Nothobranchius furzeri: one gene and its partners. The protein of the gene in region 3 interacts with the protein of the main gene of each other region in a pairwise test. Links are inferred from orthologs where the notes say so. Each region holds a gene or a part of one and is shown on either strand. Other genes may lie near its edges.

Region 1 (4,036 bases), on a different chromosome or scaffold from region 3:
CACACAAATGCACATTTTGTCCTTGCTTCCTCGTTTATCCTTGCTGGTGTTTCCAGGTGCGTGGAGCGACAACGTTGCCTCTGAGCAGCCCGTTTGTTGTAATGACATTCATATTACTGATAATACAGCAAAGACAAAATTTGTCCACATAAACAAAATACTTTTTTATTTGTTTAGGATGTAAAATAGCAGAATGACATTCAACAAATTTACGACACAGGAGATGATTTTCTGCAAACTATGTTGCTTACTTGGACCATAACAAAAAATATTTATAAATCTCTAAAACTGATCATTTCAGGCCATCAGTTGCGGAAGAAATCAGCTGATGGAACATTAGTTGGGATGGGGGAGGGATAAGGCTGAATATGATTCTTGTTCTATTTGTGGTTAAACAAGACTTAAGAGATATGGGTGGAAATCTGTACACAAAGACGCTGGTGTCCTGACCCCAAAACGAAGCTAGCAGCAACTTCCACAATAAAAACGTCAACGGAAACCACACCAGCAATGACAAACTCGATGCCCTTTTTGTTCACGGCACATCCTTTCATCGCAGAAACCTTTACTTCGGATCACCAAGACCAGCCGCCACCGCTCATGTGCCCAGCTGATGTTTTACAAACCACAACCTTGAGCAGTTTGTGATCCGTTTCACATGTGAACTCATTAGGAGACACATACATGAAGCAGGAAACGTGTTTAAAAAGTGACATAATAGTCTAAAGATAATGCTCCATATGAATGTGACTCTACAGTGGAGTGGAATGGAACAAGCTTAAGAGGAAACAGAGGAAACCTGCCCCTTCAATGAAATACCGGGGGGGGGGGAGAGACCGGAAGGATGGAGAAGGACAGAGAGGAGAGTTGTTATGGGATGGGAGGGGTAGAACAAGTGGTGGGAGGGTTAGGGAACAAGATAGATAACTCAAGAGAAACAAAGCTAAATGTTCCTTTTGCTATTTTAGCACAGAGCACCGGCACAAGAAAAGGCGCTGCAAGCATCAGGTTAATGATTGGATAGTTTTCTCAAAGATTAATCTCTCCATCACGGCTAACTGGCCAGGACATTTATTTTTCTCTTAAAGGGGACGCTTGCTACCCAAATAGCCTCAGTAATGACACTTGGCAAGGTCAGCATACAAATGAAACCTTCCCATGACCTATACCGCCCGTAGCATGGCCATGTTTGTGCTCGCTGATGCTGTTTGGAGATAAACACACACCAATCAGACGTTAGGTTTCATAAACACACAGCACCCTCAGGGTGGCCGAGCTAAGCCTTCAACATGTAAACATATAACCACCTGCAAACCCCAGCTCACTGATTTGCACAATAGGTGCTTCCATTAATGTTTGATCAAAATCTAAGCATTCTGTCAATTAGAAAAATAAGCAATTAGTGGATTAAACAAACATTAATGTTTTAGAGACAGAAATAATAGACTGGGGTGGGAAGAGCTGCAATCCTGAGTTAGAAGTAAACTTATACACCAAGAATAAGGAATTACAGATGGACTTTTATTAAACAACCAAACTTCATTTCAAATGTACAAAGTTAAGCTATAATTCAAAATTAAAACAAATTAGGAACTAAAATGCACAAAAGTAAAAGCTTAAAATAGGATTTTTTTAAATAGATTAATCAAAAAACAAAACGGTTTGTGTCCTTTCTGCTTTGGGTGTTGTTTAGTTATTGATATTGTCTATATATTGTGTATTTGTTGATTCGTAAGCGTACAAATATTCAGAAAACAGTTCAGTACATGCAGGATGATTACATAACTCAGCTCAACTGGTTATTTGTTTTCCAATTGTGATCATGACATTAAACCAATTACACTTTTTACGATTAAATGGCACACTGCGCTTTTAACGCAGCCGACAGACATATTAGGTAAAAATCGCAGCAGGTATAACGCATTTTCTGGCCATTCTCAGTTTGCGAAACGGAATTCTACAGAGGTTTATTTGAATAAAGCGGCCATCGTGATAAAGTGAAAAAAATGATGCTAAATCTTGGGCTAGCAGGCACAACTAGCTTGTATTTTCTTGAGTTGGAGAGACTAATTGAACACATTTTCGTGCTTAGACACACAAAACAGCCGTACACAAAAGATTTCCACTACTAGTTTAACGTTAGGATAGGGAGTGCCGACTGTGACAAAGTGAACTTTATGCTAGCTTGGTGGAGAATGGTGACTGTTGCACTGCTCGGCTGACATTCCGCGGAGTGAAATTAAATCACACACTGACGAGTCTTGCCATCGTAAAGTTTGCAAAGCTCGAAAGAAACACCCTAACCAATAAAGACAACGTTTGGATCTGTCCTTCAGACCAATCAAACCTCGGACTAGATTCCACCAATCAAGGTTTTTAAGGCTAAGTTCGTTCTGCAATCGACGCCATTCGGGATCCAATGGAAATAGCCACTGCGTTTGACAGCCGTTTTAATGAGATCCAAAATGGCGGACACAGACCTCCAGTTTCCAAACCGCCCGGGATCTCTTCGGCGGGCCACCAATAAGCGCCTGAGTGCGGGGAGGGAAATGGCGCCGATGTTCATCTCCCAAAACAATCGTCTATTGGTCAAGAACAGCAAATGAAAACAGGCCAAATAATTGCCCCGACTGCCACTCCCTCAGGCCTGTTTTATGTAAAGAACATAGGTATGAGAGAATTTAAGTTTTTTACTCACTTTCTTTTTCGGGTTCGAGCTGAAGTCCGGCTCAGCGTATTATTTATTTTGTTTAACAAGCTAGGGAAACAAGATGGCTGCTTGACTCGAACCGGAAAGATTAACGCGATGACGTAGTGCGAGCTACGTTTTCACAGAACCTACGTCTGAACAAATAAGACATATTGAACCTACGAAATAACATTCAAATGGATATATTGTATTTATGTAAACACATATTAAGCCTGTCACTCATGCAAATAATTTTTACCTCACAAAAAATATAAAGTTTTGCAAAAGTTGGCTTGATAAAATACTATTTTGTCTGGAAAATTCCTGGAAAAAAACAGAGGATTCAAACTTGGATTCTGACCGTAAGGTAATTTTTGTGCTATTTAAAAAGTGCATAAACAGACGTCAACCTTGGTGTGTTCTTTAAACATCTTTGGTGTGTTCTTGTTGTGTTGAAATTCTAATTCCATCTTTTAGTTCTTGGTGTGTTCTGTATATAAAAAGAGCCACATTCACATTACGAATTTTAGTTTTGTAAATTAACACGTTCATATCACATAAAATGAAACTGTGTACAAATGTTGATGGTTATGCTTACACTGATACAAATGAGAAACTAAAATAAACAGATTACTACAGACAAGACAATTACATCACAGATCTTGACGGGTCAAAAACTGAACTTTACTAAGGCAAATTCCCTAAAATAAACCAAACCATTCAACTTCACATGCAACCTGAAACTACTTACACAAACAAAATCTAATTTTATTTTATAACCATCTTGGGAGTGACTATTTTCTTGCCACAAGCTCCAGGAGAGCGCAGGTGATTTTGTCCAGATTGTTGGAGTAGCGAGGGTCCCTCTGCATCCTGCTCTGTTGCTCCATAAGAGGGGGAGGCGCAGCGGGGTGAGGGTCAAAAAACATATCAGGATTCCGGTAGTCGGGTGAGTTCATGAGTTCTGGAAGTCTTTCGGGATAAAAAGGTGTTCCACCTAAAAACACACAAGACAACGACTTTAGAATAAAAACAATTCATAATTAAACTTTCATACAGATTTTTTTGCTTTACAGACTGTCCTCCAACTCACCATGTTTATGTGACCGGTATGTACACGCGCTCACGGGCCACTTTAATGAATACACCTGTCCAAGTGCTCGATTACGCAAATTACTAAATCAGCCAATGACATGGTGGCAACTCAATGCATTTCGGCATGTTGACACGATCCGCTGCAGTTCAAACTGAGCTTCAGAATGGGGATGAAAGGCGATTTAATTTGACTTTGAACGTGTCATGGTTGTGGGTGCCAGACGGGCTGGTCTGAGTATTTCAGAAACTGCT
Region 2 (3,516 bases), on a different chromosome or scaffold from region 3:
AAAAACTATTTGTCCCCTTCCTGATTTCTTATTCTTTTGCATGTTTGTCACATAAAATGTGTCTGATCATCAAATACATTTAACCATTAGTCAAAGATAACACAAGTAAACACAAAATGCAGGTTTGAAATGATTTATGTTTTTTTTATTATTTAGGGAGAGAACAAAATTCAAACCTACTTTGCCCTGTGTGAAAAAGTAATTGCCCCCTGAACATAATAACTGGTTGGGCCTCCCTTAGCAGCAATAACTGCAATCAAGTGTTTGTGATAACTTGCTACGAGTCTTTTACAGCGCTCTGGAGGAATTTTGACCCACTCATCTTTGCAGAATTGTTGTAATTCAGCTTTATTTGAGGGTTTTCTAGCATGAACCGCCTTTTTAAGGTCATGCCATAGCATCTCAATAGGATTCAAGTCAAGACTTTGACTAGGCCACTCCAAAGTCTTCATTTTGTTGTTCTTCAGCCATTCAGAGGTGGATTTGCTGGTGTGTTTTGGGTCCTTGTCCTGCTGCAGCACCCAACATCGCTTCAGCTTTAGTTGACGAACAGATGGCCGGACATTCTCCTTCAGGATGTTTTGGTAGACAGTAGAATTCATGGTTCCATTTATCACAGCAAGCCTTCCAGTTCCTGAAGCAGCAAAACAACCCCAGACCATCACACTACCACCACCACATTTTACTGCTGGTATGATGCTCTTTGTCTGAAATGCTGTGTTACTTCTGTGCCAGATGTAACGGGACATTTGCCTTCCAAACAGTTCAACTTTTGTCTCATCAGTCCACAAGGTATTTTCCCAAAAGTCTTGGCAATCATTGAGATGTTTCTTAGCAAAATTGAGACGAGCCCTAATGTTCTTTTTGCTTAACAGAGTTGTTCTCATTTGTTCTTGAATTTCTTTGGATCTTGGCATGATGTCTAGCTTTTGAGGTGCTTTTGGTCTACTTCTCTGTGTCAGGCAGCTCATATTTAAGTGATTTCTTGATTGAAACAGGTGTGGCAGTAATCAGGCTTGGGGGTGGCTACAGAAATTGAACTCAGGTATGAAACACCACAGTTGGGTTATTTTTTAAAAAGGGGGGCAATTACTTTTTCACACAGGGCAATGTAGGTTTGGATTTTGTTCTCTCCCTAAATAATAAAAACCATCATTTCAAAACTGCATTTTGTGTTTACTTGTGTTATCTTTGACTAACGGTTAAATGTGTTTGATGATCACAAACATTTTTTGTGACAAACATGCAAAAGAATAAGAAAACAGGAAGGGGACAAATAGTTTTTCACACCACTGTAGATAGATAAGGAAACGAGATAAATAAATAATTCTCAGCCACAGAACTTAAGATAAATGCGTCTTTTTGTTTTTGTCTAATTGCAGCGGAGAAAGCTCCAGGCTCCAGTGTGTTTGAGCAGAAAGCATCGAGCAGCGGCTTCGACCAGCAGCAGCAGCAGCCAGTGAAGGTGGTCTACTACAGGGCTCTGTATCCATTTGATGCTCGCAGCCACGATGAGATCAGTATCCAGCCTGGAGATGTCATCATGGTGTGTAACCTGCACTCATGTCACACGTGTCCTGTTCATGTTGGATTTATCTCTGCATTTGTGTTAAAGCCTCCTGAAGTGTGTTTGTGTGTGAATGACCGTCTGCTTTAATGTTTTATTTCTCTCCTCCGCTCTGCAAACTGAAGGTGAAGGGGGAGTGGGTAAGTTCTTGCCCCCCGCCCAGTGCCGTTTTGTGTTTCCACCAATCACAAGCCAGTGCATTCATCTCATGCCCTGCTCATGTTCATCTGTCCTCTAGCGGATGAATGTCCCTTACTAAAGTGGGAATGCTGTCACGTGTTTATGTTGACCTAATCATTTTGTTTCAGCTATCTTTATGAATGAACCCCCCATCTTTACCATTAAAGCAACACCAAAGAGTTTAGCTGCTTTGCAGCTCTCACTCTTCCTGAAGCCGTGAATTGTGACACAAAACTAAAATATGGGGAAATAAAAGTTGTGTAGATTCTCAGCCTCCACACTGATGCTAAACACTGCTGACTGGATGTCAGTGTGTTGCTCCACTTATCCCATAACCCGCTACAGCAGGGGTGTTTTATTCTGGGCCTGGAGGACCGGTGTCCAGCACGTTTTAGCTTAAACCCTGCTTCAACACACCTGATTTCAATCAGTAGGTGATTAACAGGCTTCTGCAGAGCCGGATGAGCTGCTGCACAGGTGATTCAATCACTGAATCTAGTGTGTTAGAGCAGTGAAACCACTAAAACATGCTGGTTAGCGGCCCTCGAGGCCTGGAATTGAATCCCCCTGTGGTACATTTGAAATAAAAATCCTTCAGTTTGACCAGCACATATTTACCTACATATAATGAGTGTCTTTTATATTAAACACCTTCTTGGTAACAATGATTAAATTAATAAATTTAGTAGAATAAGTTATAATTAAACAGGAAAATAAATGTAAAGCTGGTATTGTTTGTTGTCTTCAATGGAAAAATTTAAGAATGACATCTTTTGTTGAGAAATGAAAAATCTCATGAGATTATTGCAAAACCAGATGACCCTTTGGATGTGAGGTGAAAGGCACTCATGTAGCAACAGACTAAATTTTAGCCCAGTGTCTTTAAAATGGATTCAGATGAAGGGTCTTGGCCATCTTGAATTGAGCTGACTCCAGAAGTGAGTCAGTTGTGGGCGCACGTCTGCTGATTTAATTTCTGACATTTTGAGAGAGATAAATAGATGTGAAGGACCTTTCTCTCCATGCTTGTGGATTTAGTGAACCTGCCTCCTGGAGTTAAACTCTGAAAGCTGTTTGTTTATTTCACAACTCATGTTTCTAATAGCATTGTGAGAAAATATCGGTACACTGAAATATACAATATTTCATGATAGATTTTTGAAAGGGTTGTATTGATTTTTCTTTTTGATTGAGAATTTATTTGCAAACATTTCCTTTATTTCTTTTGTGTAGTGCAATTCAGACTCTGACTGCTAGGTGGCAGCAGTTCACTGCCTTCATTCTGATGGAACAATGCGCTGTTGCTGGAACACTAGGTGTGGCGTGGACGTGTCTTGCTTGAGTTTTCCAATTAAATTCGGTCCTAAAATTACAATTATGTGGGTTTTAGTATCACAGTACATCATATCATCTCCACTATTGTGATGTATGTTGTTTCACCAGATTCTTGCAAATACACACCCCTAGTCTCTTGTGTTGAGCTCATTATTGGGATTGTCCAGATAACGTTCTAGTTTTAACTTGATCAGGATGAATGTTTACTGTGCTGCAGTAAAACTATCACCCACTGGCACTGGCTAGTTCAGCCCTGCTACCTGGCCTAAAGCTTGATGAAGCACATCTAGTGTTTCTGGCCTAATTAAATCACACCCTTTGCTCTGATAGGTGGATGAGTCACAAACGGGTGAGCCTGGGTGGCTCGGGGGTGAGCTCAGAGGCAGGACCGGTTGGTTTCCAGCTAATTATGCAGAGCGTATACCCGACAGCGA
Region 3 (4,284 bases):
CTGCACTTTTTACCATCCAAAAACAATATTACGCTATATTAAATTGACACTGGTTGAGCTCTAGGACCAAGCGGAAAGCAACCGTTTGTGTTGAAGCCGGTTTCCCATTAGAACATATTGTAAAGATACCCCCCCCCCCCCCCCCACTTCTAAAGTGAAAATTACGTCCATGATTCAGTACGACTCACAGATCTGAAAATCAAAAAAAACAGATGGTTTCCATCACCGCCAAGAAAAATCCGACATTTTCCCTGAGCAGCGTTTACTTTCAGAGTCATGATTTCTCACGTTAATCAGATTATTATTTTTACTGGTATATTGTTGCTGTAGTCATCTGAGAACGGCTGTAAACGTATCTAAACTCAACATCAGCCTTTAAAACTAGAATCGATGCAGTAAACGGAAGCATCTTCTCTAAAACAGTGTTTTGTTGTTCGGCACACTCCGAAACTTTATGACTCCGATTGCCTCTTCAAGCTTCTTTAAAGTGAAGAAAGATCAAAACGTCATCGCTAAAAGTGCTGAGCAAATTCTAAACCTCGTCTTTCATTCTTGTGTAATCGGTAATCTGCTGAAAAACTTTCTGCTTTGACAACATCTCACCATGCATGACGCTTTGTGGCACCTGGAGTAAAGGTCAAGCAGCATGGTTTTCCTCCAGCCAATGCAGAAATACAATAGTTGTTTTTTAAATAGAAATAACTTTTTTTCATCCTTCTTTCACCATCTGACAAAAAAGAACATAGCTGCGTAGCTTAAACTTTGATTCAACAACATCTAGGAGAACTTGGGAGACTTCCAAAACCATCTACGGTTTCCTGTTCGTTAGTAGGCTACTTATGCACACGAGTGTTGATTAATTAGCCCAAATCTAACCTAGAGATCTGAAGCAGAATGCCACTAATCACGTTAGCGTTGGAGCAGCTGATAGGACGACACCAGATCATGAAGGATTTGATCATATTAATGCTTTACGAACACTCAGAGATCGTAATGCTGTGGATAGGGCGCAGCAAAATCCCACAAAATTCTGTTCAGAATGTTCTTTGACATAAATTTTACATTCAGATATTTTTCTTTCAGGGCTGTTTTTATATTGTAAAATAGTCGGGATGTTTTGGTTACATAAAAATATAATAACTAAATGAAAAATGAATCAAAACATAACATTACGCCCGTGCTACTTCTACATAAACACATGGCTTTCAGCGATCCTCTCACCTGATGTAGTCATTTCTGCACAGGATCATGCCACTTTTTGTGTAGCACGAAGTACCAATGTCGCCCAGCTGGGCCTGGCAGCAGGAACACTTGAGGCATCGGCTGTGCCAGTAGCTGTCCATGGTGTAGAGGAGGAAGCGATCTGCAATTTTGCCCCCGCAACCCGCACACCGTTTCCAAGACAGGGAGCCTGTGCCCACCGCTGGTGGCTGGCTGTTGCCTCCAGGATTCACCATTGTCTCTAAAAACACAGAAAAGACACGGTCAAGCCTGACTCACCCACATGGCCGGTGCTCGTGCATTTACTAGTGGAGGATTGTTTTGATTTCAGACAAAAACTATCAACATGTATTCACAGCTACGGATTTTGAATTATACCAACTAATACCTAGTTTTGTGACTAATTATTGAGTGAAACTGGTCTAGATGTCCGTTACTGTCCTGTTCTGTTGCATTAATGGGCTTCCCAGTGTCTGTTCAACTGATAACACCCATAATTAAGACTTCAGCATATATTTATCGTCTCAATCCCAGCATGAATGGCTGTAGTGAGATAGGAATTGCAGTTTGGTTCTCAACACTTGACAACTTCCAAGGCATAAAACATGTCAGACTACAAACTGATGCCCACAGACCTCCTGTAATGACGTCAATCTACTAATCTTATGCATTCTGTTTCAGCCACTAAATTAATTTCAAGTCATTCAGATGTAATCCCCACCAATTTGGTCAGACGGACTTGCAGGGATGAAGCCAAATCTTTGTTGAAAGCCAGGTAGGCCAATTAGAGTTGGGAAGAGGGATGGGGGGGGGGGGGGGGGCATTCAGTAAGCCCATTAGCGATGGCTCTTAGGGACAAACCACAGCGTACTTTAGTGCTGATTAAATCTAAAAGGAGATGAATCAAAAAAGCCGACGTGAAAGTGACTCTCTGGATAAACAGAGCGGGCTATCGTCAAGTTTCTCTAGGGGTGAGGAGGGGGGGAGTTTCTGTTTTATTCGCTGGGGAAGGATGAGAGGGGGAGGAGGAATGAGAGGGGGGGTGGCTTTTAAACTAAATGGGCCAACTCAAGTAATTACACGAACAGGCAATTTGGGCAAGTCATGGAAAAAGAAGGGAGAGAGACAGCGAGAGAAAGAGGGAGAGATGAGTGAGCGGGGCAAAGAAAAGAAAAACACCCATTCGTGCACTGAAAGCAGGGGAAAACACTTTCTTGGCGTTATTATTTTTGGGATAAATGCGTGGAAATGTGCTAATGAAGTGAATACTGGATGTGAACGCACGCGCTGCGAAAGAACGCAACATAAACCGATTAGTTTCCTGTTTAATTAGGCTGTAACGCCAACAAACACTCACCTCGTTCCCCTGGTCGACGATGCCACCGAAGTTTGACGATGAACAGGTAGGGAGGGTTCAACAGAGCCAGAAAAGTAAAACGGCTTCAAAGCGGACGCACCAACCAGCGCGCGCGCGCTCCAGACTCCAGCTCTGCGCGAGAGCACCTCGAGGACCCGGCGAGGCGAGCAAATGGAGTTATCAGATAGTATTTCCACGGGTAGGCTTCCCTTTTACTGGCACCACTTTAAAGACGACGGGATTCATGGCGAGGTGACACGCATGCCGTAATGTTCCCCCAAAGACGTGAAGAGCACGTGCGTGTTTTGGCTGAAACAAAAAGATAAAGCGTTCAGGAGACGTCGAGGCTGAAGAGGTCTCTTTCTGCTCTGGTCTGAATCTCTGCGTGCGTCCGCGTCCCGTTGGCAGCTGGTTCTACATGTGTCGCTGACAGAAAGAAACCTCCAGTAAAAACTCTCTCCTGCTGCGTGACGACAGAGCCCTGGCAGCCAATCAGAATGCAGTCAATTTGGGAGAATAACAGTTCCAGCCAATCGGAGGGAAGGGAGATAGACTTGGACACGCAGACAACGGAGGTGAGAGGGACAAGAGGAAAAACGGGGATAAAAGCAGCTCATTGACACTTAAATCCGAGATATCCAGAACCACGTTTCTGGGATTAGAGGCGATGGTGTATTTAATAACTGCATTATAAATATGAGTTTACGTAAACCTAAATGGTAAATGGGGAAACGCGAGTGCTGAGGTAACCTATGGACTAGATGCAAAGTTATACACAAGTCGTCATGGTGTTCGATCGTTTCCAAACGTGCTCCATGCTGCATGGCAACATCCAGCAGGCTGCATTCACCTCACGTCAGAGTTTAATTAGTTGGCATTCAATAACTACTTAGTTGAGGGTGACTCCAACCTCTACAGCTGCGTAGTGGCGCCATCATCTGTCACTGAAGATAATAGCAGCTCCTTTTACAACGTTAAGGTCATTGGTTTCAGCTCCTACTGAGTCTCTTTTGGCTGAAGTGCTGTAATTATTGCAATATTTGCTCATCTCGCCCTCTCTGGCATAATACAGTGCTGTGGAAAAATGTTGCTTATGTTTTTCATATAAAAGATAACCCCAGTAAACGCCAGTTTTCAAATGATATTTTCAAAGATTAAGGGGTGATGAGCTAACTGACCTGACCCTGATTGAACCCGTCTCCTTCAGGCTGGTTGCAGCACTCTTGAGGCAATGATTACTGCAGCTCTCTCTATGCAGGGTTGTGTCAGTCATCACTGTGTCGCCTTCAGGTTGTGCAGAACAGCGCAGCCAGGTTCCTGACTGGGACCAGGAAACGGGACCACATCATTCCGGTTCTGGCCTCCCTGCACTGGCTTCCGGTTTGCTATCGTTCACACTTCAGACTCCTCGTCTTTGTTTTTAATTTCTTCCAGGGTGGTGCTCCCCCCTATCTGGCCACGCTCCTGAACAGACATTCCCCATCACGCGCTCTGCGCTCCTCTGACCAAGGCCTGCTCGCTGTCCCTCGTTCTAGGTGTCGTACTCGCGGGGACCGGGCTTTCTCAGTCCTAGCACCGTCACTATGGAACCAGTTGCCACCCTCAGTTAGGCTGTCCCCATCTCTGCCAGTCTTCAAGAGTCGCCTAAAAACCCACCTCCTCCACTTGGCGTTTCCTGAACATGTTTGAATCTGGCCCTCTTTTAT
Region 4 (4,241 bases), on a different chromosome or scaffold from region 3:
GATATCCTCCAGACAATAAGAACTGTCCTGAAAAGATCAGAAAGCGTTCAAGAATTAGCTTGGATATTAATCATTTACTAAAAATGTGGTTTCCTCTAACTGTAAAAGACTACCTTCACAGGGTCCCAGGAGGAGAGTTTCTCTTTAAGCAATGGATGAATGACAGCCACAGCCAAATCTGCCAATCCCATCATCTTGTATTCCTCATAATAATCGGTTTGTAATGTCTCAAAGATCTGGGCACACTCCTGAAGAGACAAGCACTACAAATCAGCTTCACAATTATGAAATATAAAGCTGGAACTCCTTAATTTGAACAGCTTGCAGACCGGCTCCAGTCAGTGTTTGTAACACAAACCTGTAGGGTCGGGCCCTCTCCCGGTGCCGTCTCTTCAGAAGGAAAACGCTCCACTAATGCTAAGACAGCTTCCATTCTTCGGATGGATTCTTGCTCTGACTCCAGTCTGCTCTGCAAAGCTTTTGACTCATGGCTCAGAGAAACAACCACGTCTTTTTCATGCTGCAAACGTCTGGCAGACTACAAAAGATGCACAAAAAAAAGAAAGAACGCTTTAGTAGAGATTACAAGTTCTTCACATTTTTCTCAGGTTGCTGACTTATTAATATCCTATTCTTGTAGCTAAATATGTTGTAAATAATTCTTGGTTTCCTCTTACCTGTAATATGTTTTGTTCTGTCAGGTCTATCAGAAGCTGCAGATTATGCTCAAGTTCGGGGAGAGCAAAGCCAGATACCTTTTGATCCTGTGAAGCCAAGCTTGGTGGAGCTTCATCGGGAACACTGTGTTTGTGAGACATCTGACTATAACTGTAGTATACCTTCTGCTCTCTTCCAGTCATATCTATTACCTAGACCAAGGGAAATGTCAGGATAAATAAGTACTATGAATGTAGCCAAAATGTACTTAAATTACTGATGCTTAATAAAACACTGAATCCTCAATTTTGCACCTATGCAGCCATGCCAACATAAAAAACAAACAGCACACAAGTGAAACATAAACATACCTTGACCTGTGCCAGCTCTCCTGCAGTTGCAGATGTGCTCCGACTCACTATTTTACCTTTAGCCTTCAACTCATCTGCTGTTCTGTAAGAGTACTTGGGCTTCTTTTTTCCTGCAGGCCCAGCTGGATCCTTACGCCACTGGCCAAGTTCCTTCTGAAATTCCTATATAAAGATATAGAAAATTACCACAATGACTCTATAGACTCATTTGATCAATAAAATCAAACACAAAAATAAAAACAACATTGTAAAGACAATTTTTTTTCTCAGTACTTTACCTTCTCCTCTTCTTCCTCTGAGTCAACTACAGGAAAGTCCTGAAGACTCTGCTGGGTTCTTTCATTGCCATAAGCACCAACCGCTCCTTTTCCCTTACGGATCTTTGCCTCAATGGGGTTTATGATACCTACAGAGAGAAAGTACATTACAAGTGTTTCAATTCCACCACATCCATGTAAAAAACAAAACATTTTACAACATTTTTAAAAGAACAATCTAAGTCAACTAAACACACCTTGAGCATTCTTCCCCAAGCCTTTCCCTGGCTGGTAACCCATCTTCTGCAGAAGTTTCTGTCCAATTCCTTTGGTGTGTTTCTCCCAGTTACCAATTCCTTGTCCAGACTGTATTCCACCTGCAAACCTCTTAGACTGATTTCCACAGAAATTACCCTAGAAAAACATTTTTTCCCAACATCATTATTTTCACTATTTTCTTCTACAAACAATGGACATCACAATGTGCGCACATTTAAAAATTACCATCTGGAGTTTTTTGGGTGCAGTCACGCGTGAAGGGGGGAGTTTTGCAGAAGTATCATCATCAGAGTCGTCAGAGCTGCCTTCTTTTTCCCGCTCTTTCTCTTCAGCAGCACTCTTACGCAAACCACCACTCACAAAGCTCACAGGTACAGTGTAGTCTTTGGATCTAAAAAGAAATCATAAATATTTTATTAGAACATTTGGTTAGAAATTGTTTCAGAATTGGAATTTGTGTCAAAAGCAAGCCATTTATACTTCTTGCCACCAAAGCTGGGCCTTTCATCTTCATCAGAATCCTTCTCGGCCCAGATGCCATATGTGGCCTGCTCCTTGCTCTGCCTGAATTTGCGACGGTCTGGGTTGAACTCATTGGCTAAATCCCAGTCAGTAATCTCAAAACTCTCCACCTCCACACCTTCCTCTTCCTCCTCCCTCCGCCCGTAAAGGTGGGACATTGACATCTCTGCAAGTTATAAACAATATAGATCTTAATGAAATGTGACCGAATCCTAAAATTACACGTGCATTTATTTTCCAGGAAAGAAACATTGTGACTTCAAAATCAGGAAAAAGATGCATATCTAGTTTATTAAAGGCAAAGAAGAGGGAAATAAAATGCGATAACTAAGTCAGGTATGAAGTCAACGTTTGTGGTTTAACTAACGATAAATTAATAATGACAAAAAGGTTTACAATCAATAACGATGAATACACAAATAAGACTAAACGTGAAACATCGATTATAAAACTATACAAATCTGCTTAGAAGAAAACGGAGCGAAGGCTAATTACTAGCAATAACGCACGTTCTGTAGCATTAATGTAAATACACACAACATGTTAGTAGTGATAAAAAACGACGATTTCGTTTAAGTTAACTTACTAAAATATTAATTACAACCTTGGTCTGAGATCAAAAACACATATCTTATGTGGTAATAAGACGAACTGCAGAGACACGAACTGTTGACGAATGATATATTTTTGTCAAAAGCAAGTTCTTCCGGTTTAGCCGTGTCACTTCAATTAATGTACACTACAAATAATTTCATTAATATTTTAAAAGCAGCTTAATTAAAACCAACCATTCAACACATACATTTTTATAAAGCGGTCAATATTTTTTTTAAAAATAAAAACAATCGAACAACAGCAAATCTGTTGAATTTACGTGACTTTTAACTAGACGGAAATCACACCGGAAACAGAACAATGTGTTGCACTTGAATAGGTCATCTGCGTTTCCATTTTTAGCTTTCAGCTCTCAAAATGCTAAATTTGGTTTTGAGTTCCATGTTTTTATGATACTTACGTTTGGAAATGTATGTACTTATGTAAATTACATCTGGCAATTCACACAAATGTCGTACATATCCGATGAATGGCAGGTAGCTCGGCGTCGAAAAGGTGTATGTAGGCAATTTAAATCTCATCAAGTTCCTCTAAACTCACCATCATGCCATCAGGAGCAACTGGATGTTGGAAAACTCATCAGAAGAATCAGAGACAACATGTAAGAAGTTACGCACACACACATGTATGTATGTATGTATGTATGTATATATATATATATATATATATATATATATATATATATATATATATACATATATATATATATATATATATATATATATATATATATATATATATATATATGAGTAACAATATTTATCTTGCATAATAGGTGAAATCATACATCTTCCCATAAGTTATTGGTTTGCTTATATCTTTCCTTCTTAGGTTTGAACTAAAGTACGAAGATTTTTGGAAAGACTGGAATGGTGAGTTTGTTGTAGATATGTAGGTTGAGTTAAGCTTAGTTATTTAGTGGATCATCTTCTCTTCAGAGAATTTCCAGGCAGCAGCAGCATCCCTAAAACCTCCAGGGGACAGTGACACTGAAAATCAGCTGGAAAAAGCCCCAGAAGAAACACTGATGTGTGTTTGTTATGGTCTTGGGTCTTTTTCTTCATGTGTAGCCGCTCGCTACCAACTTGCCATGTTGCTGCTTCTTCTGGATGCGAGACAGGTGAGAAGATCGACTCCATCTGTGTTATAAATGATACTTGTGAAACTCTGATGCAAAATATGTGCTTTATTGCCCCTGTCCATGTAGATTTTACTGCGGGACTGCTATGTTTATGATCCTGCCTTCTCCTTTGCTGAAAAGAATGTCTTAAGAGAGCTGGGTTTGACTGTACTCACAGAAAATGAGGTCAGTTGACAAGAGCTTGAGTATTTTTGAAATAAATAACAGTAAAACACTGTTTTCAGGTATACACTATGAAGTAGATTATACAGATATAATGTTACCATAAATACCATTGTTACAAATAAACAACTGTTACAACTCCAGCCATTTCATTTTGCTATCTGTTTGATTTCACTGGTTATTCACTAGCTTAGATGTTGATAAATCAGTGCAGAGAGAATAAATCTGCTTTTTTTC
Region 5 (3,516 bases), on a different chromosome or scaffold from region 3:
ATCCGTTTGTAGCTTTGATCATTTTTCAGTAGCTGAAAAAGTTTCTATTGACTTTTTAATGTAAAAAAAATAGCTCTCCATTTTTTCAAAAATTAAAAGACTTATTTGGGCCAGAAATAAAAAATATGGCATGATCTGTGCTCAGAAGCAGCAACTTCTTGAGTTTGTGCTTCTCAATTGAAATAAAACAGGAAAGACCTGAAGTATTTACCTGACCATCCATGCACGAACGGAAAAAGGTGATGGAAAGTGAAGCTTTTACCTCTTTTGTGTGTTTCCTCTTTGATCTGCTTGTGAGGCGACTGACACAGATCTTCATCAGACGACCTGAACATCCTCTTCACCAAAACGCTCCTGACAACACACAAGCATGTGGCAGTTAGCCAGTTTGTCCGTGGTGTTGTGCTTCTGCTTGGATGAGGTAAATGTCTGTGTGTGTGTGTGTGGGGGGGGGGGGGGGGGGGGCTGATGCTCACCCTTCTCTCTCCATCTCCTCTGTGTTGAAGGTAAACACCTGAATGCAAATAATAAATACTGTCATTGTAAGTAAGACACGGAACAGCATGTTAAAGGTGGAAATTCAGCCGGGCCCCACCTGTCCGGCCCTCTGCAGGTTGCCGAAGTGAACGTCCGGGATGAAAAGAACCGGCTGGGCCTCCAAGTCCGACATGTTCTTGAAATAAGTGATGTCTGACTTCTTGGGGACAGTTATCACCCCGACACCTCCGTCTTTCCCTGGACACAAAAACCACGATATATAGGCTACAGGGGCGGGTCCAGAAAATTTGACTTGGGGGGGGCTAAGGAGGCAATCTTGGACCTCCACATCGAAGTGTGTAAAATATTGACTAAAACACTGTAAAACTGTTTGTTGTGCCATTAGCTGCATCTCCACAAGAAAGTTCCAGGACATTTCCAGTAGGGGAGATGGTAAGCAGTGTCCTGACCAATCACAGGATTGGGGTCTCCGTCGTGTTTTATGGATATTTAGAAAAATGGGCTTTACTCCGTTTGTCCTTCCATGCCTGTTGGCGAGACCTTACGACAACGGATGATGGCGTTGCGTGTCTCCGCACCAAAGTGGATGAGAAGTATAAACTAGCCTTAAGCCGTTAACATATGGCGAGCGTTCTGGCAGAGTGACTTTACTGATAGCTGATTAATAACAAACAAATGTGTGAAAGCACGCTGTATTTTACGCCGTTCACAGAACGCATTAAGAGAGTGGCCGTGTGACGTAAGAAACGGTATTGTATACCACAAGAAAATCCGTTATTTTACGGTGTTCTGTAGGACACCACGAAGCAGCTTACGTTATAGCGTTGCGGAGGGATTTCCGCCACATTTTTATGTGTTAGGAGTTTAGTAACAGCGATTTTACAGAAACGCTGACTTTTTTTATCTTCATTTGATTCAGCATCAACAGCAACTCTTCCAATTTTACAAATGCCGGCTGTTTGGCGTCGCCGGCCAATTTAATTTCCCTCTGAGACACCATGAGTTAACCACAAGTCCCACCCTAAGACATGACCCAGGCTTGTTTTGGTCCTCTCAGGCTGGCTCCATGAATTAGAGTATAGCATGAATTTTCGGTAAAATTACCCGGAAGTTCCGATAGTGGAAATGGAAATCCTATTATTATTATTATTATTATTATTATTATTATTATTATTATTATTATTATTATTATCTTCTGTTTGTAAGCAGGACTCAAACCTTTTGACTTCTTTCTCAATAGTTTTCTCTCCTCGTCTCTTATTTTCCTCTCTGCTCCCTGGGGGAAAAAAGAAGAAAAACATTTATTTTTTAAATAATAGAATCATTAATTTTCAAATGTATCCAGACCTGGAGCATGCTATGAGATATAAGACTAGGAATAAAACAGGTGTGCTGAGAGGAGAACCGTCCTCAGGCCACTAGAGGGAGCCCTACTTTCAGAAGCTCTTTCTTTTTTTTTAATAAAAACAGTATAAAAAAAAAAGGAATTTTTCCTCGCAGAAGCGACGTGCCACCTTGTCACAGAAGACCTTGATCTGTGAGTATGCCCTGTGGAGCGGCTTGTTGCTGCGGTTGTTGTAGCTGTATGTGTCGATCTGGATCATCAGAGGAAGACCCTTCACGCCCTTCTGGGAGGAGAAGTCTGTGCTCAGACAGTTGACCGTAATGAAGATCTGCCAGAGAAAAGAGAGGCAGAAACTGTTGACACAAAGCTTCTTCGTTCCATTTCTGATTAAAGTCTGCTCACATGTTTGCAAAGCTGGAAAGAAAAGTTGACTTTTTCATGATTTCAAGCAATGCAAACACAATTCCTTTCAACTCTGCTGCTTCTTTTGCTTCCTAAAAATACCTACAGATATTAATCTAAAGCAGAAAGATTAAAGGAAAGCTTCAGCATCTCCGAACCTTCAATAGGTCCTTTCAATTCTATCAGACTCAATTATTTTTATTAAGATTTTCTTCTCTGTTTAATTTCCTGAAGTAATAGCTGGATATTGTAATTTAAACGTAAAATTTATCATTAAAAATCTGAAATTCTTCTAATCATTCTAAACAATTTTAAATTGTGAACAAGATAAAAGGATAATTAACCCTTTGATGCATAATGGTCACTACAGTGGACAGGTACTCAAAATTGGTACTTTTTTTTTGCTATTAAGCACAGCTGTTGAAGACTTAATTGCATTTGAGCCCCTCCATTTGGACGTCAGTAAGTCAAGCCAACATATTTCATGTTCAGAATGCACGCTGTCCACTGAGGTCGACATGTAAAAAATTATTTGTAAATTAAATGTTACAAAAAATATGTAAATATGAAATTTTTTTCATTCACACCTAAAGATGAATGAAAAAAATGGTAAAAAAAATCATGGTTGAATATTTCAAATTCATGCATCAAAGGGTTAAACAAAGCTGAAATAAAAATTGATGACGTGTAAGAACCACTAGGTGTCAGCCTCGAGCAGCAACTCTGATTATTTCTCCTCTCAGACGAGCAAAAACTGTAAATCCCTTAAATACAGAAAATAGTTAATTTAACGGGAAAAACAGAACAAACAAGTGTGCTCTGGCTTTTAAAACAAAGAGGTCCCAACCAGGAAATCCAAACTGGTGCTTGAAATGGAGAACTGAAACTTGTTTTGTTACGGTTGTTTATAAACCAGCGTAACTTTAGTTGTAAGTAGGGGTTTGTGATTCAAGTTTCAATGACGTATAATATATATCTTTGCGATTATTAATTCCGTTTTTGAAAACTCAACAAAAATAAAATAAATGATAACTTGTGTTTCTGCCCAAGTTTTGTTCCGTTATTGTAGGAAAATTAAAATGTACTCATAATTCTGTTACCTTGAGTGAATAATGATGATTTTTAGAATTTAACAATAACACAAGTAAAGATCTGCCGAAGCAGAGACAGAAAACGGGGCTGTTGTTTCTACCCGGACCCCTTTAGATGTGACACTCTCTGAGCTTTTTGTTCATTTACTCATCTTCTAAACCTTTCTTTCTTCGGTTGGG

The links.
Region 1: the proteins of lmo4b (region 3) and nfyc interact in binary tests that used the Homo sapiens proteins (3 or more experiments, as listed by UniProt). The link is inferred for Nothobranchius furzeri from reciprocal best matches to the Homo sapiens genes LMO4 and NFYC.
Region 2: the proteins of lmo4b (region 3) and itsn1 interact in binary tests that used the Homo sapiens proteins (3 or more experiments, as listed by UniProt). The link is inferred for Nothobranchius furzeri from reciprocal best matches to the Homo sapiens genes LMO4 and ITSN1.
Region 4: the proteins of lmo4b (region 3) and tfip11 interact in binary tests that used the Homo sapiens proteins (3 or more experiments, as listed by UniProt). The two-hybrid records come from large-scale screens. The link is inferred for Nothobranchius furzeri from reciprocal best matches to the Homo sapiens genes LMO4 and TFIP11.
Region 5: the proteins of lmo4b (region 3) and grhl2b interact in binary tests that used the Homo sapiens proteins (3 or more experiments, as listed by UniProt). The two-hybrid records come from large-scale screens. The link is inferred for Nothobranchius furzeri from reciprocal best matches to the Homo sapiens genes LMO4 and GRHL2.

What each region holds. Positions count from the first base shown.
Region 1 is NC_091759.1:20,572,168-20,576,203, forward strand, and holds the start of nfyc (nuclear transcription factor Y subunit gamma), read right to left. Parts: upstream 2,809-4,036; 5' UTR 2,699-2,808; intron 2,556-2,698; exon of another isoform or gene 2,481-2,555; intron 1-2,480. Other genes in the region: uncharacterized protein si:ch211-13c6.2, read right to left, coding at 3,484-3,686. UniProt on the Homo sapiens protein: Component of the sequence-specific heterotrimeric transcription factor (NF-Y) which specifically recognizes a 5'-CCAAT-3' box motif found in the promoters of its target genes.
Region 2 is NC_091752.1:40,936,355-40,939,870, reverse strand, and holds part of itsn1 (intersectin-1), read left to right. Parts: intron 1-1,382; coding exon 1,383-1,546; intron 1,547-1,692; coding exon 1,693-1,707; intron 1,708-3,412; coding exon 3,413-3,516. UniProt on the Homo sapiens protein: Adapter protein that provides a link between the endocytic membrane traffic and the actin assembly machinery. Acts as a guanine nucleotide exchange factor (GEF) for CDC42, and thereby stimulates actin nucleation mediated by WASL and the ARP2/3 complex.
Region 3 is NC_091756.1:59,560,012-59,564,295, forward strand, and holds the start of lmo4b (LIM domain transcription factor LMO4b), read right to left. Parts: upstream 2,808-4,284; 5' UTR 2,579-2,807; intron 1,463-2,578; 5' UTR 1,458-1,462; coding exon 1,222-1,457; intron 1-1,221. UniProt on the Homo sapiens protein: Transcription cofactor. Plays a role in establishing motor neuron identity, in concert with MNX1, acting, at least in part, to disrupt LDB1-LHX3 complexes thereby negatively modulating interneuron genes in motor neurons.
Region 4 is NC_091757.1:45,000,280-45,004,520, forward strand, and holds the start of tfip11 (tuftelin-interacting protein 11), read right to left. Parts: upstream 2,801-4,241; 5' UTR 2,691-2,800; exon of another isoform or gene 2,673-2,690; intron 2,253-2,672; 5' UTR 2,251-2,252; coding exon 2,045-2,250; intron 1,956-2,044; coding exon 1,790-1,955; intron 1,700-1,789; coding exon 1,543-1,699; intron 1,435-1,542; coding exon 1,307-1,434; intron 1,191-1,306; coding exon 1,029-1,190; intron 870-1,028; coding exon 678-869; intron 539-677; coding exon 359-538; intron 249-358; coding exon 114-248; intron 28-113; coding exon 1-27. Other genes in the region: srrd (SRR1-like protein), read left to right, coding at 3,091-3,302, 3,533-3,573, 3,640-3,821, 3,909-4,007. UniProt on the Homo sapiens protein: Involved in pre-mRNA splicing, specifically in spliceosome disassembly during late-stage splicing events. Intron turnover seems to proceed through reactions in two lariat-intron associated complexes termed Intron Large (IL) and Intron Small (IS).
Region 5 is NC_091759.1:1,557,442-1,560,957, forward strand, and holds part of grhl2b (grainyhead-like transcription factor 2b), read right to left. Parts: intron 2,172-3,516; coding exon 2,013-2,171; intron 1,775-2,012; coding exon 1,717-1,774; intron 736-1,716; coding exon 596-735; intron 515-595; coding exon 477-514; intron 355-476; coding exon 263-354; intron 1-262. UniProt on the Homo sapiens protein: Transcription factor playing an important role in primary neurulation and in epithelial development. Binds directly to the consensus DNA sequence 5'-AACCGGTT-3' acting as an activator and repressor on distinct target genes.